Cricetulus griseus: one gene and its partners. The protein of the gene in region 1 purifies or fractionates together with the protein of each later gene. This does not show direct contact. Links are inferred from orthologs where the notes say so. Each region holds a gene or a part of one and is shown on either strand. Other genes may lie near its edges.

Evidence for each region. Proteins that work in one complex are often made in the same cells at the same time.
Region 2: the proteins of Ryk (region 1) and protocadherin-7 purify together in Homo sapiens (affinity purification with mass spectrometry; 3 studies listed by BioGRID and IntAct, with this or other methods). This does not show direct contact. The link is inferred for Cricetulus griseus from reciprocal best matches to the Homo sapiens genes RYK and PCDH7.
Region 3: the proteins of Ryk (region 1) and Adgra3 purify together in Homo sapiens (affinity purification with mass spectrometry; 3 studies listed by BioGRID and IntAct, with this or other methods). This does not show direct contact. The link is inferred for Cricetulus griseus from reciprocal best matches to the Homo sapiens genes RYK and ADGRA3.

What each region holds. Positions count from the first base shown.
Region 1 is NC_048597.1:211,108,660-211,112,313, reverse strand, and holds part of Ryk (tyrosine-protein kinase RYK), read right to left. Parts: intron 2,868-3,654; coding exon 2,733-2,867; intron 650-2,732; coding exon 596-649; intron 1-595. UniProt on the Homo sapiens protein: May be a coreceptor along with FZD8 of Wnt proteins, such as WNT1, WNT3, WNT3A and WNT5A. Involved in neuron differentiation, axon guidance, corpus callosum establishment and neurite outgrowth.
Region 2 is NW_023276807.1:125,653,526-125,657,179, reverse strand, and holds part of protocadherin-7, read right to left. Parts: intron 1,388-3,654; coding exon 1,171-1,387; intron 1-1,170.
Region 3 is NW_023276807.1:118,364,935-118,368,588, forward strand, and holds part of Adgra3 (adhesion G protein-coupled receptor A3), read right to left. Parts: intron 1,429-3,654; coding exon 1,264-1,428; intron 1-1,263. UniProt on the Homo sapiens protein: Orphan receptor that may have a role in planar cell polarity pathway.

The DNA.
Region 1 (3,654 bases):
GCCTATCTCTGCCCCTCCACCACCCCCACCTTCCCGTGCCACATGGTGCTGGAGTTTCATGAGGGTACTGCAGCTCCCGCCATTTACATGGGTGCTAGGAATCTGAACAAGTCTTCGTGCTTGCATAGCACTTTACCAACTAGGTCATCTCTCTCTCTCTCTCTCTCTCTCAAAATAAAATATAAAATAAATAACATAAATTTGCATTTTCACCCAGATGAAATTAGCTAAAGGTTAGGCCCAGGGTATGAATCAGATTCCCTAACACTCTGCTACTGAAGGTCTTAAACATATTTTTTAGTATTTGTTCCTTTATTGGGCCTATCTGAGAAAAAGCACAATATAAATTTTTGCTTCTAAAAAGTATGTGTTAGTTTGTTAGTTCTATAAAAGAGGCAAGTTTGAATTCTCACAATCTTCAATACCCAATCAGCTTCACTTGATCTATGTATCAGTCTCCAGAACAGAGCAGAATAGACAGCAAACTGACACCACACTGGAGCAGGCTTCCACTGTCATGCAAGCATGTCCACATGCACTCAGGCACTGCTTCAGTCTCGTGATGGAGAAAGATAACAAACACAGTGGCACTTACAAATAGTTCTGCTAGTGTTTTTGTCCAAGGCTGAAGTTTTTACTTCTTCAAGTTCTGGATTAAAAGGGAAATAAAAAGTACTTCAGAAATTGTTTTTCATAAGAATCCTTATATACTAGCACATTTTCTGAACACTGAGCTCAGTCACAGGTATTCGCTGTAAGATAATGAAAACTACTATGCCATTCTAATAGTCATCAGTGCAATCACCAGTAGATAAACAGCCTATGCCAGTTACTTGTCCACTCCCAATGAAATGGGTTTCTGTGGTCAAGAGTGTAGAGAAACCCACAAACTTACACTGTCTTCATGGAAACTCTTGGCACAACCAGCTCAACAGAAAGGATCTAGATTTCTAAAGGATGAAAAATCCTGACCCTAACTCTACCACTAAGATAAAGAAACTTCTAGGGAGTAACAGCTCTTAGCATTCCACACAGCACAGATGTGCTTGCTAGTGCAGTTGTTTACGTGCCATAGGCTAGAAACCAGATGAATACAATAGGATCACATATTAGAGTCATGAAAAAAGCTGATTAAAGTGGGCAAGCTATGACCACCAAATTAAGACAGTGGTATATATTAAATCTAAAATGGAACAGTTTTCAGAAGTCAAGCATGGTAGTGAACACATTAATGTTCACTACCAAAGAGGCTGATACAGGAAGATCACAAGTTCAAGGCATGACTTGGTTAAATAGTGAGTTCAAGGCCAGCTTGGGTAACTTAGCAAGCACCTGTCTCAAATAAAATTGCTAAAATAGAGTTTGAGATACACTCAGTGGTAAATCACTCTTCTAGTACACCCTGGGTCCAACCCTAGTATCAATCCATCCATCATCCATCCACACACCCACCCATCCACACACCCACCCATCCATCCACCCATCCACCCATCCATCCATCCATCCATCCTGACTAGTTATACAAGTCTAGGTGGCCTCTTCAAGGCCCAGTGTCCTCATGCCAATCACATAAAGGCAAGTTGCAGTAAAGCCTCTACAATCCCCTTAGGCTTTAAACTTACACCAAAGCAACTTAAAACTGCACTAAAGATAAGGGTGATAATTTTTTTATTTTAAAAAATGTCTCTTTTCAATGCAATATAGTTTCTTTGTTGGCATGTGTCTTGACATTTGCCACTGTAACTCACTTTGCTGACCCTGGGTGTTTGAATAAGACCCAGCACTAATTTCCACTGGGAAGTTTGCAAATAAACAGTTTCACAAAGAAACCAAGAACACAGGTTGGCCTCTCAGCTGCAGCACTTTGTTTGAGCCTGGCCAGGTTACCTAGAACTGACGTAAGGATACATGGGTTTACTGCATGTAACGAGTGCAGACCATGGAAAAGCATCCATTGAGTTTATGGTTTGTTTTGTTTCTACCTTAAACAGTAAACAGTTCTACCTATTTGTAAATTTACAAGTTCTATCTCTGTGCTACATGGAAATTAGATAACCTTGTAGAATTGTTAAAATTTCAAAACTCAGCGTTGGTATGCTAGAAATCACTGTATCTGTGGTGATTTCCTGAGCAATAGACAATATAATTCAAATCCCTAACAAATAATTATTATTAAGTACCCACATGTGACACTCTAATTCTAGGCTAGATTTAATTATCCTTTAAACCCTCTCTGAAACAGCATCATGCATATTTTACAGATGAGAACCTGAGTCTCACAAAGGTGTAATAACAATTCACCCATCCTGAGAAGAGCAGGCCCACGTGACCCCCCAAAGTGAAACTCCCGCAGACATTCCGCCTACCCTCCCACCCCCCCACACACACAGTGAAGCTCCTGCAGAAGCCAAGTTCACTGAGCAAATGCTTAGCTCACAGCTGCTCCATGGCCTCTGTGGGGTTTGTCTTCCTTCTTTACCCTTCAGCCACACAGGCTCCACTTCACACTCCTCATGGAATCTTTCAAGCAGTTCCACAGAGCTGAGTGTGGCCGAGAGAGATCCTGGCTACACACTATCTGGGGTTACCCCAGAATTTCATCTACTAGTATGCTTCCCTTTTCTCACAACTACAATAAAGACTTGTTTATAGTTAAGTCTGTAAACAAACAATACAATATTCTATAGACCTCTTATTTACACAAAACACACTCTGTTAAATAAATTCCTTACTTTTGTAGCACATTTTCCTTCGTTTAAAATTTAAAACTGTAAAGTTTTTTGAAGAATTTACTGTCAGGTTGAGCTGCATTAGTATCATAACTTCAGAGTCGACTTTGCCGGTACAGGAAAGTTCAACCCGAAACACTGTTAAAAGAAATAAGAGAAAATATTTTAGTGTCCTAAAAATCTGCTCTCAAATAAAGCAAACAAACACATTTAAATAAGTGGACCAGAGAGCTCTGAGACCACATCACCACAGCTCTGGACATTTCTGTTTCCTCCATGTAGATAAGGAAGAGTGCTGAAGAGAAAAGCAACAGAGACGAAGGGACAATTACTGTCAAGCTTTGCCTGTGAATTTGAACATGCTAGTTTGTCTTATACGTTCTGCTTTCCAATATACTAAAGCTACAGAACCATAAGGAAAACACTGCTGACCTTACCAGTCTCACGAGCAACAGTAACAAAATTACAGGATAAATAAAAGGAAAGACTATGCGGTACCAAATGCAATTATATATTGCTCCTATATAATTTGAAGGATGTAAATGTCAGGAAGGTAGAATATGCATTGCGGTCTGCAGGGCAGACATGAGATGCCCAAAATAAAACATATCATCACCATATTCCTATAGCAGGGGTATCCTTTTGTTCGGCTAACAAAATGGGGGAAAACCAAAGCCACACTGAATTGGGTGGCAGGAGAGTTCCTGTTGGACTTAGAGCTATGACACACAGATACGCAAATACATACATTAGCACACCACCAATGACAAACATATGTATAGTAAGAACATGTGTGGAAGTACTCTCTGTGGAAAATATGTATGTGTATTTAGTAGTCACATTTAAAAATTATCTTATACAATAGTAATTACTCATAAGTACCCCTCGGAAATAAAGACATTGTACTGGGATAAATTATAATAAA
Region 2 (3,654 bases), on another chromosome or scaffold:
GTTTAGAATACTTCACTTGAGGTCTCTTTTTGATTTATTCGTTGCTGGATTTTAATATTCACAGGTAAAATTTTGAAAAGGAAGCCTGTTATTCTTTGCATTAATACACTGTCTTTGCATGCCACCACTGAAGAAACTGGTATAAAGCAAGAAAGAGATCCTTTTTCATTAGCAGATTGAGGCGGTGAATGACATAAATCTATTTTGACTATTCACTACAGACAAAATATTTGCATTTCCCATGCCTTTCTTGATATATAACGGTATCTCTTTCACATTGGAAATAATAATGAACTTGGGAAGAGCTTTGCCACTCTGGAAATAATAATGAAGTTAGGAAGAGCTTTGCCACTCCACTGTTTGACATAAACATTTTCCTCAAATGTATACTTAGCACTCAAAATGCAGAAAATAAATACCAAAATTTTCTTTAGGAACATGAGCAAATGTGAAAGCATTTACATACATTGTTTTAAATATCATTTTATGATATACAAAAAGCCATAAAGGAGAATTGTGACAAGTATAAGAATAGCCTCACAATGAGGTAAGAGTAGGCAGCATTATATTTTGTTTTGTTTCCTTTTCCTTGCAAAAAATCGGAATAAGGCATATACTTTAAGGGGAGAGGGGTGTTTGTGGTATTTACTGCATGCTAGGTAGAGCAAGACACTGCTGCTTGCTTCTCATCCATTTCACCTGGCACTCAAAAGAACAGGCTCAGAAATGCATTGCTGGGCATTCAGGAAAGGAAAACTCAAGCAAAGTGTGTTCATGGTCTTGCCTTTCACTAAGATTGATTTATGAAAATTGAAGAAATAGTTGCATGACAAAAATGAATAGAAGGAAATAGTTAAACAAGACCTCTCATAGTGGTTATTGTTTAGCAATTGTGCATTGGATTAGCATTTTCATAGCAGGAACTGCTCTAATTTATTTCTAGGTGCATTTATTTCTGATGAGCTATTTGAAATGATGGCATAATTTTATGAATTTTATCTACAAAATTATATTTCTTTATTTGTCATTTCTAAATTTTACCGAGTGTTTAGTATTTTGAAATACTTTTGGTGTAATCTACTTTGTTTTTATTTTAGGCTAGCTTTCACAAGCCTAGTTATTCTGGCTCACTAGCGTGATTATGTGTGTGGATGTTGTGTTTGCCCCTACCATTTTCCATATGCTCTGCCTCACCAACACTGCCATCCGGCGTGGTCCTTTCATAGTTGTCCTCTGGGAGTGGAAGGGCACCCAGTCTTGGCCCTGATGAACTCTTACTGCTTGGTGTTTCTGACTCCTCCAGCCCGCTGTCATAGCAACTCTGCAGTGACCCCTGATGTGGGTCCTGTGGCTGACTCACAACAGAAAACGTCACTCTACGAAATGGCTGTAAAAAGAAAAGATTCTGAATGTCACTAAGATATAAGATTTCAAATGATCTTATTTCATAAAATACATAAATTACATACTTAAAAGCATACAGACACTAATTCAATACAAATTATTACACAGATCGAAATATATTCTGATAACTATATATTATCTAAGACAAAGCCTAGAGATTATGCTTTTGTTTTTGAAAAAAATTCCTGGTTTGAAAGAAAGGTAAGAAAACACAAATATTATCCAACATGCATTGCAATCGAGTAGACTAGTTTTATATATTCAACCCTTTTCCATTCAGGAGCCTTTACATTTTTTCACAAATAGATTTCATAAAAAAGAAAGGGTTATTTATTTACGGAGGAAATAAAATACTAAAATAACCATTATGAAAGGATGTCATTTAAATACTTCATCCAAATGACAGAATGCATTCAAATCAAGTTCATATGATACAGACTTTTATAGCCCTGTTGCTGGCACTCAGCTACAAACAGTGCAGCTGTGAAATAAGAATTTGCATGTGGTATTAGGAAATTTCAAATATTTATTACTTTGTTCCAATAAAAAATCTATTTGAAACTGTAAGAGACATAGTAGGATAACCTGTAAAATTCTCTTCAACCCATTAATAGGAAATAAATCACAAGACTAAACTGCCTGTGTTTACCATAATTGTAGTTCATTCAAACACAGTAAAGTCAAGTGTAGTGTTTATTTGGTGTATTGGATGTCATATAAAACTGTCCAACTAGCGCCAACAAGTACCTGTGCTGGTGACAATGCCTCATCATGTTGACTGTGTATGAGATACCCAAGATATCTTAGTTACATAATAAATGAGAGTAAATTTAAGTTCATTATGGGAAAAAACTAATGGTGTGTCATCCATAGAACAAACTAACATGTTAAAGCAATCACAATATTGATGATATGACATATGATAGATAATGTATATGCTAAATGCTGCTTATTAGCTGTCTGAAAAAAATTTAATTAAAATTTATTTAAATTAAAATCTTATTTTACATAACAACCCCAGTTCCCTCTCCATCCTATCCTCCCAGTCCCCCCTTCCAAACCCTCATCCCACCCCATATCCACTCCTTAGGGAGGGTGAGGCCTCCCATGGGAGATCATCAAAATCTGTCACATCATTTGGGGCGGGACCTAGGTCCTCTCCCATGTATTTATGCTGAAAGAGTATCACTCCATAGGGAATGGGCTCCCAAAGCCCATTCGAGAACTAGGGATAAATACTGGTTCCATTGCCTGAGGCCCCATAGACAGCTTAAGTCCCACACACACACACTTTGAAATTTTTAAAAAACAGTTCATACATTAACCCGGCATGAATTTGAATGTGACACAAGTGGACACAGTTATCATACTTACAACCCACACTGTTCCTTTCCAGTACACAGTTTAGAATTACTGTTGCCAAAACATAGTATAAATTTGAGAACCTTCTCTGGATGTTTGTAGCTTGAAAGTTCATGGTACAAATCTCTAACCATAACCATGACCAATAGGACTGTGGAGTTCTAAGGATTATCTGCACATGGTAGATTAGTAATGAGAAAGTTAATGATTGTGGCATTTTCCCCTAATTTATAAATTGGCTTTGTTAAGGACTAATATTCTCTTCCACAAATCTCTCCTTTAAATTCCATTATAGAGAAAAAAATTTCTGAAAAATCTGCACATTGCTGATATTTCTGCTACTAACTCATTCCTTATGAGTTTAATAGTAATATACAGCCTATGAAAAATCTTTTTTATCCTAGTTCAAGCTCTTAGCATGGGTGGCCATAAAATACAATTATGGTCTTTATAATGTTTCACAGAATTGGGATAGTAGTATGGAAAAACAGTTACACAGTATTTCATTGTTGATAACATATACATCATGGGACCAAACTCACTGACAAAAATTCTAAAGACTTGGCCTCTATTTCACCAACAACTCTTATCTTTTTTGTTAATGTGATCACTATATTTTTCACTATTTCAAGAGAGAAATCATTTTTGCTTATCTCACTTTTTATTTCTGTTTATATTTCCTCCCTTTTGTCATTATCAGGTGGCCATGGCGTATCTGGAATTGTCTGAGGAATTCAGTCTCCCTTTCAAAATGACGCCACAGCCACTCTCTTAAAACTATCATGTTCTGCTCAGCCAACACTGCTGCACAATGAAATATTAATGATTACTAATATTAATTATATTAAGACAGGAAATATGAAGAACATGCAATGGGTTAAAAATATT
Region 3 (3,654 bases), on another chromosome or scaffold:
CTGAATGAAAGACAAAACCCAACATAAATGGAAAACATGATTACTTCATAAAAGATGCTGAATGTCACAAAATGAACCAATGTCGCACATTATACTTTTAAGAACTAAAAGTATATGCACAGACAGTGTTCTATGCACATGAACTTACTCACTCGCTTGAAATAATGAATACTGTCTCTGTCTGTCTGTCTGTCTGTCTGCCTCTCTCTCTCTCTCTCTCTCTCTCTGTGAGAGAGACAGAGACAGAGACAGAGACAGAGAGATGGAATAAGGTGAGAGACAGCACTCCTACAGTGTCCCAAACTACAAAGATATATATTAAAATCTTTCTCACTCTAAAATTGTAGAGGCTATAACCAAGAGGTAGCTACCCCCCAACACACACCAGAAACAATGTGAACTTAGAGTTAAATAATCTTTATACATGATTGAAAAGCAATGTATTTCCTTTGTTTACACTAAAAACTCATTACTAAAAGCCTCTAAACACAAGTTGCTGTAACTCATCTATGGAAAGATGATTTACATCAACTTGGAAAGTCATTAACTCTCACAGGTCCTCCTCCATCTAAAAGGATCTTAACTGGTTCAGCAGATCTCACAAGAGCCCTGGAACCCACCAGATCCCAACAGCTGTCTTGGGCTATGAAATGGTGTTCCTTTCCCCAATCCCTTTTGACTCAATTGCCAGAATTACTGAATGGGGCAAGAAAGTAAGTCTATGTGTCTCCCCCAATGACGATGTCTAGAACTAAATGACTTAAGAATAGAAAACCTTTCAAGATTTATCATTAAGAGTCATTGGAAAAAAAAACAAAGAAACATGAGACAGTGTCATCAACTTGCCAGACACTGTTTCCCTAAAGCAGGAGTTTGTAAGACCTGTAGCAAACCATTGGTTAAGGGGGACAAGCAGAGAATGGGGGGAGACATGATCAAGATACACTGCGTGCATGCATTAAAATTTTCAAAACACACCTTTTTTCTAAAATAACTATTCTTTCAGTGACTCTTAAATCAATAGGTATCAAATAAAGTTCAAGTATCTGATTATTTTTCTATGATACTGAAATTATTATTGCAAAGAATATTCCTTAGATACATATCTATGTGTGAATATCCACATATATGTGTATGTATGGATACACATACACACACTCATCTCAATTTTTGTTATTGAGGTTGAGAGACCAATTATTTATCTTTGAGACTATAAAGCTTTGGGACAAACCAGCATTTTCTAGTATGTTTCACATCACTGACCTGAAATCACCTTTGTTGTTCACAACCCTCTCTGGTGGACAGTACTGGGCTGAGCTTTCTAATACCACAATATCAACAGTTCTTGTATTATTCCCACGTTTGGTCTGAACATGACAGCCCCAGTTTCCAGTAGATCCAGCCTGAATATTGGAAATGGTTAGGGCACTGCAGAAAAAAGAAAAAAAAATTTAAAGAGAGAAATATCAGGATCCTAAAAATAAAGTAGAGCCATAGGAGGGGTAGGAACAGAGCACAATGGTTTGTAACACAAAGGAATTCCAGAAGCATGGTGGGACACAGAACAGCCAGCTCACAGGTGGAAAATGGTTTTAAGTCACACCATTTCAAAGACTTTGAATAAAATATTTATGAAATACAGGACTATAATGAAGTGATTTAAAAAGAAATATGTAAGGAGAAGAGGCTGGAGAGATGGCACAGTAGTTGAGAGCACTTGTTCCTCTTGAAGAGGACCAGGTTTAAGTTCTCAACAGCTCACAAACCATTTGTAACTCCCAGTTTCACATGGTCTAATGACCTCTTCTGACCTCCAAGGGTACCACATGCATACAAGGTGCATGAACAACACACACACACACACACACACACACACACACACACACACACACACACACACACACACACAAATAAATAAAAGTATTTAACAGGAAATACTTTGTAGAGAAAGAAGAGAAAGATTATTCTAAAAACAGGTGGATCCGTGGGCAAAAATGCTTGCCAATGTGCTGGGTGACTTTAGTTTGAGACCCACACACAGCAAGAGGGAATCGATTGCTGCAAAAGCCTCCAACTTCTACGTGTACAGCCTGGCATTCACAAAAGAATACATGTGCATACACTAAACAAATGTAACTCTTTAAAAAGATTAGTAAATGACCAATTAATGATTCCTAAAGAAGTGTCTATGTGAAGCTATGTTTCACCTTAGAGCTGAATCTCTCCATAATGGTCAGTAAATCTCATTCTTAGTATGAAATCATAATTCTCTAATATAAACCTATTAATTAAAGAGCAAGTGTCAAAACCTTCAATTAACCCCCTTTCCTCTATATGATCCACCATGCTTTGCCGTTATGTAGAAACAAATGGTAAGATATAATTAGACATAAAGCATGTATCATCTTAATTAACTTATCAAATTATGTCTGGAAGTGAATACACATTTGTGTGGTCTCCTAAGTCACCAAGGGCTGGCTAGCATTCTAATAGACTCTGAGGCACTGTTACATCCAGAATCATCAAAGAAAATGAATATTAGCATTCCTAAGTTAAGAAACAAGTCAACAGTTGTAATCAATATTTTAATGATGAGTGACATAAAAAGCAAAATTCTTTATTAAATAATCATTAAATCCAAAGCTATTCTATGCTGTGCAGCTATAATGAATTAGGACGAAATACAAAGTATGGCCCCTAAGTAATCCAGGTTTCAAGCTCAGCTCAAGAGCCTCACTATGTAACTCCTTTACTATGTGCCTAGTCCTCAAAAAGAAAAATATCTGGTAGTTCCAAGTAGTAAGATAAATGTCAAAACTGAGTCTCTATTCAACCATAGGGGTACACACCTGTAATCTTAACATGGAGGACCTAACACAGGAGGATCACAAGGCCAACGTAAGCTCATAAAACAACAAAATATACTGTATGTTTACATTCTAATAAATTACTAGCCTAGCCATTTGAAAGATATAGCTTTAAAAATTACCAAAAAATAAAATTTTTACCTAAATACAGTGATTCCACATGAGATGTGACTGCCTGCTAGCCACCATGGAAACAATCTGAGTTCAGAATCTTCTCAGGCAAAGAACACCTTTTTCTTCCAGGTTTTTGACTCATTTGGACCACCACATCGGCCTAAAGTTGCACACCTCAAAATATGGTACCATCAAAAGAAGCATGACATGCTTCGATGGGGACACTGTACAGTGCTAGCAGCCATGTGGTGTCCAACCAATGTCACTGCCTCAGAGGATTAATGTGGGTCCCAGTGTTGGTGGTACCCTTCTGGGAACCATGGGTCCTCATATACTATGCCATTATTTTTTTGTGGATAACTTTTAACAATGCTTTCAATGTCTAAAAGCATCCACTGGAACCAAAGTCCCAGGTATCACCCAGACAGCAGATCTAGAGACAAGGGATACAAGAAAAAAGCAGCTTGAGTGTCATCTTGTAAGAAAACAATCACTAAGTTTTATAAATAAAGGATGGACGACATCAAGAGACCTACAAGGGATCAATAAGCTTCAACCTCACCTACTTCAACAACCACGAGTTTCCTTTCACTACACATTCTGGGGTGAACTCTGGTTGATGAAGTCTCCATCTTCATATGAAAGACTGTCATGTCAGTCAAATGTTTCTACC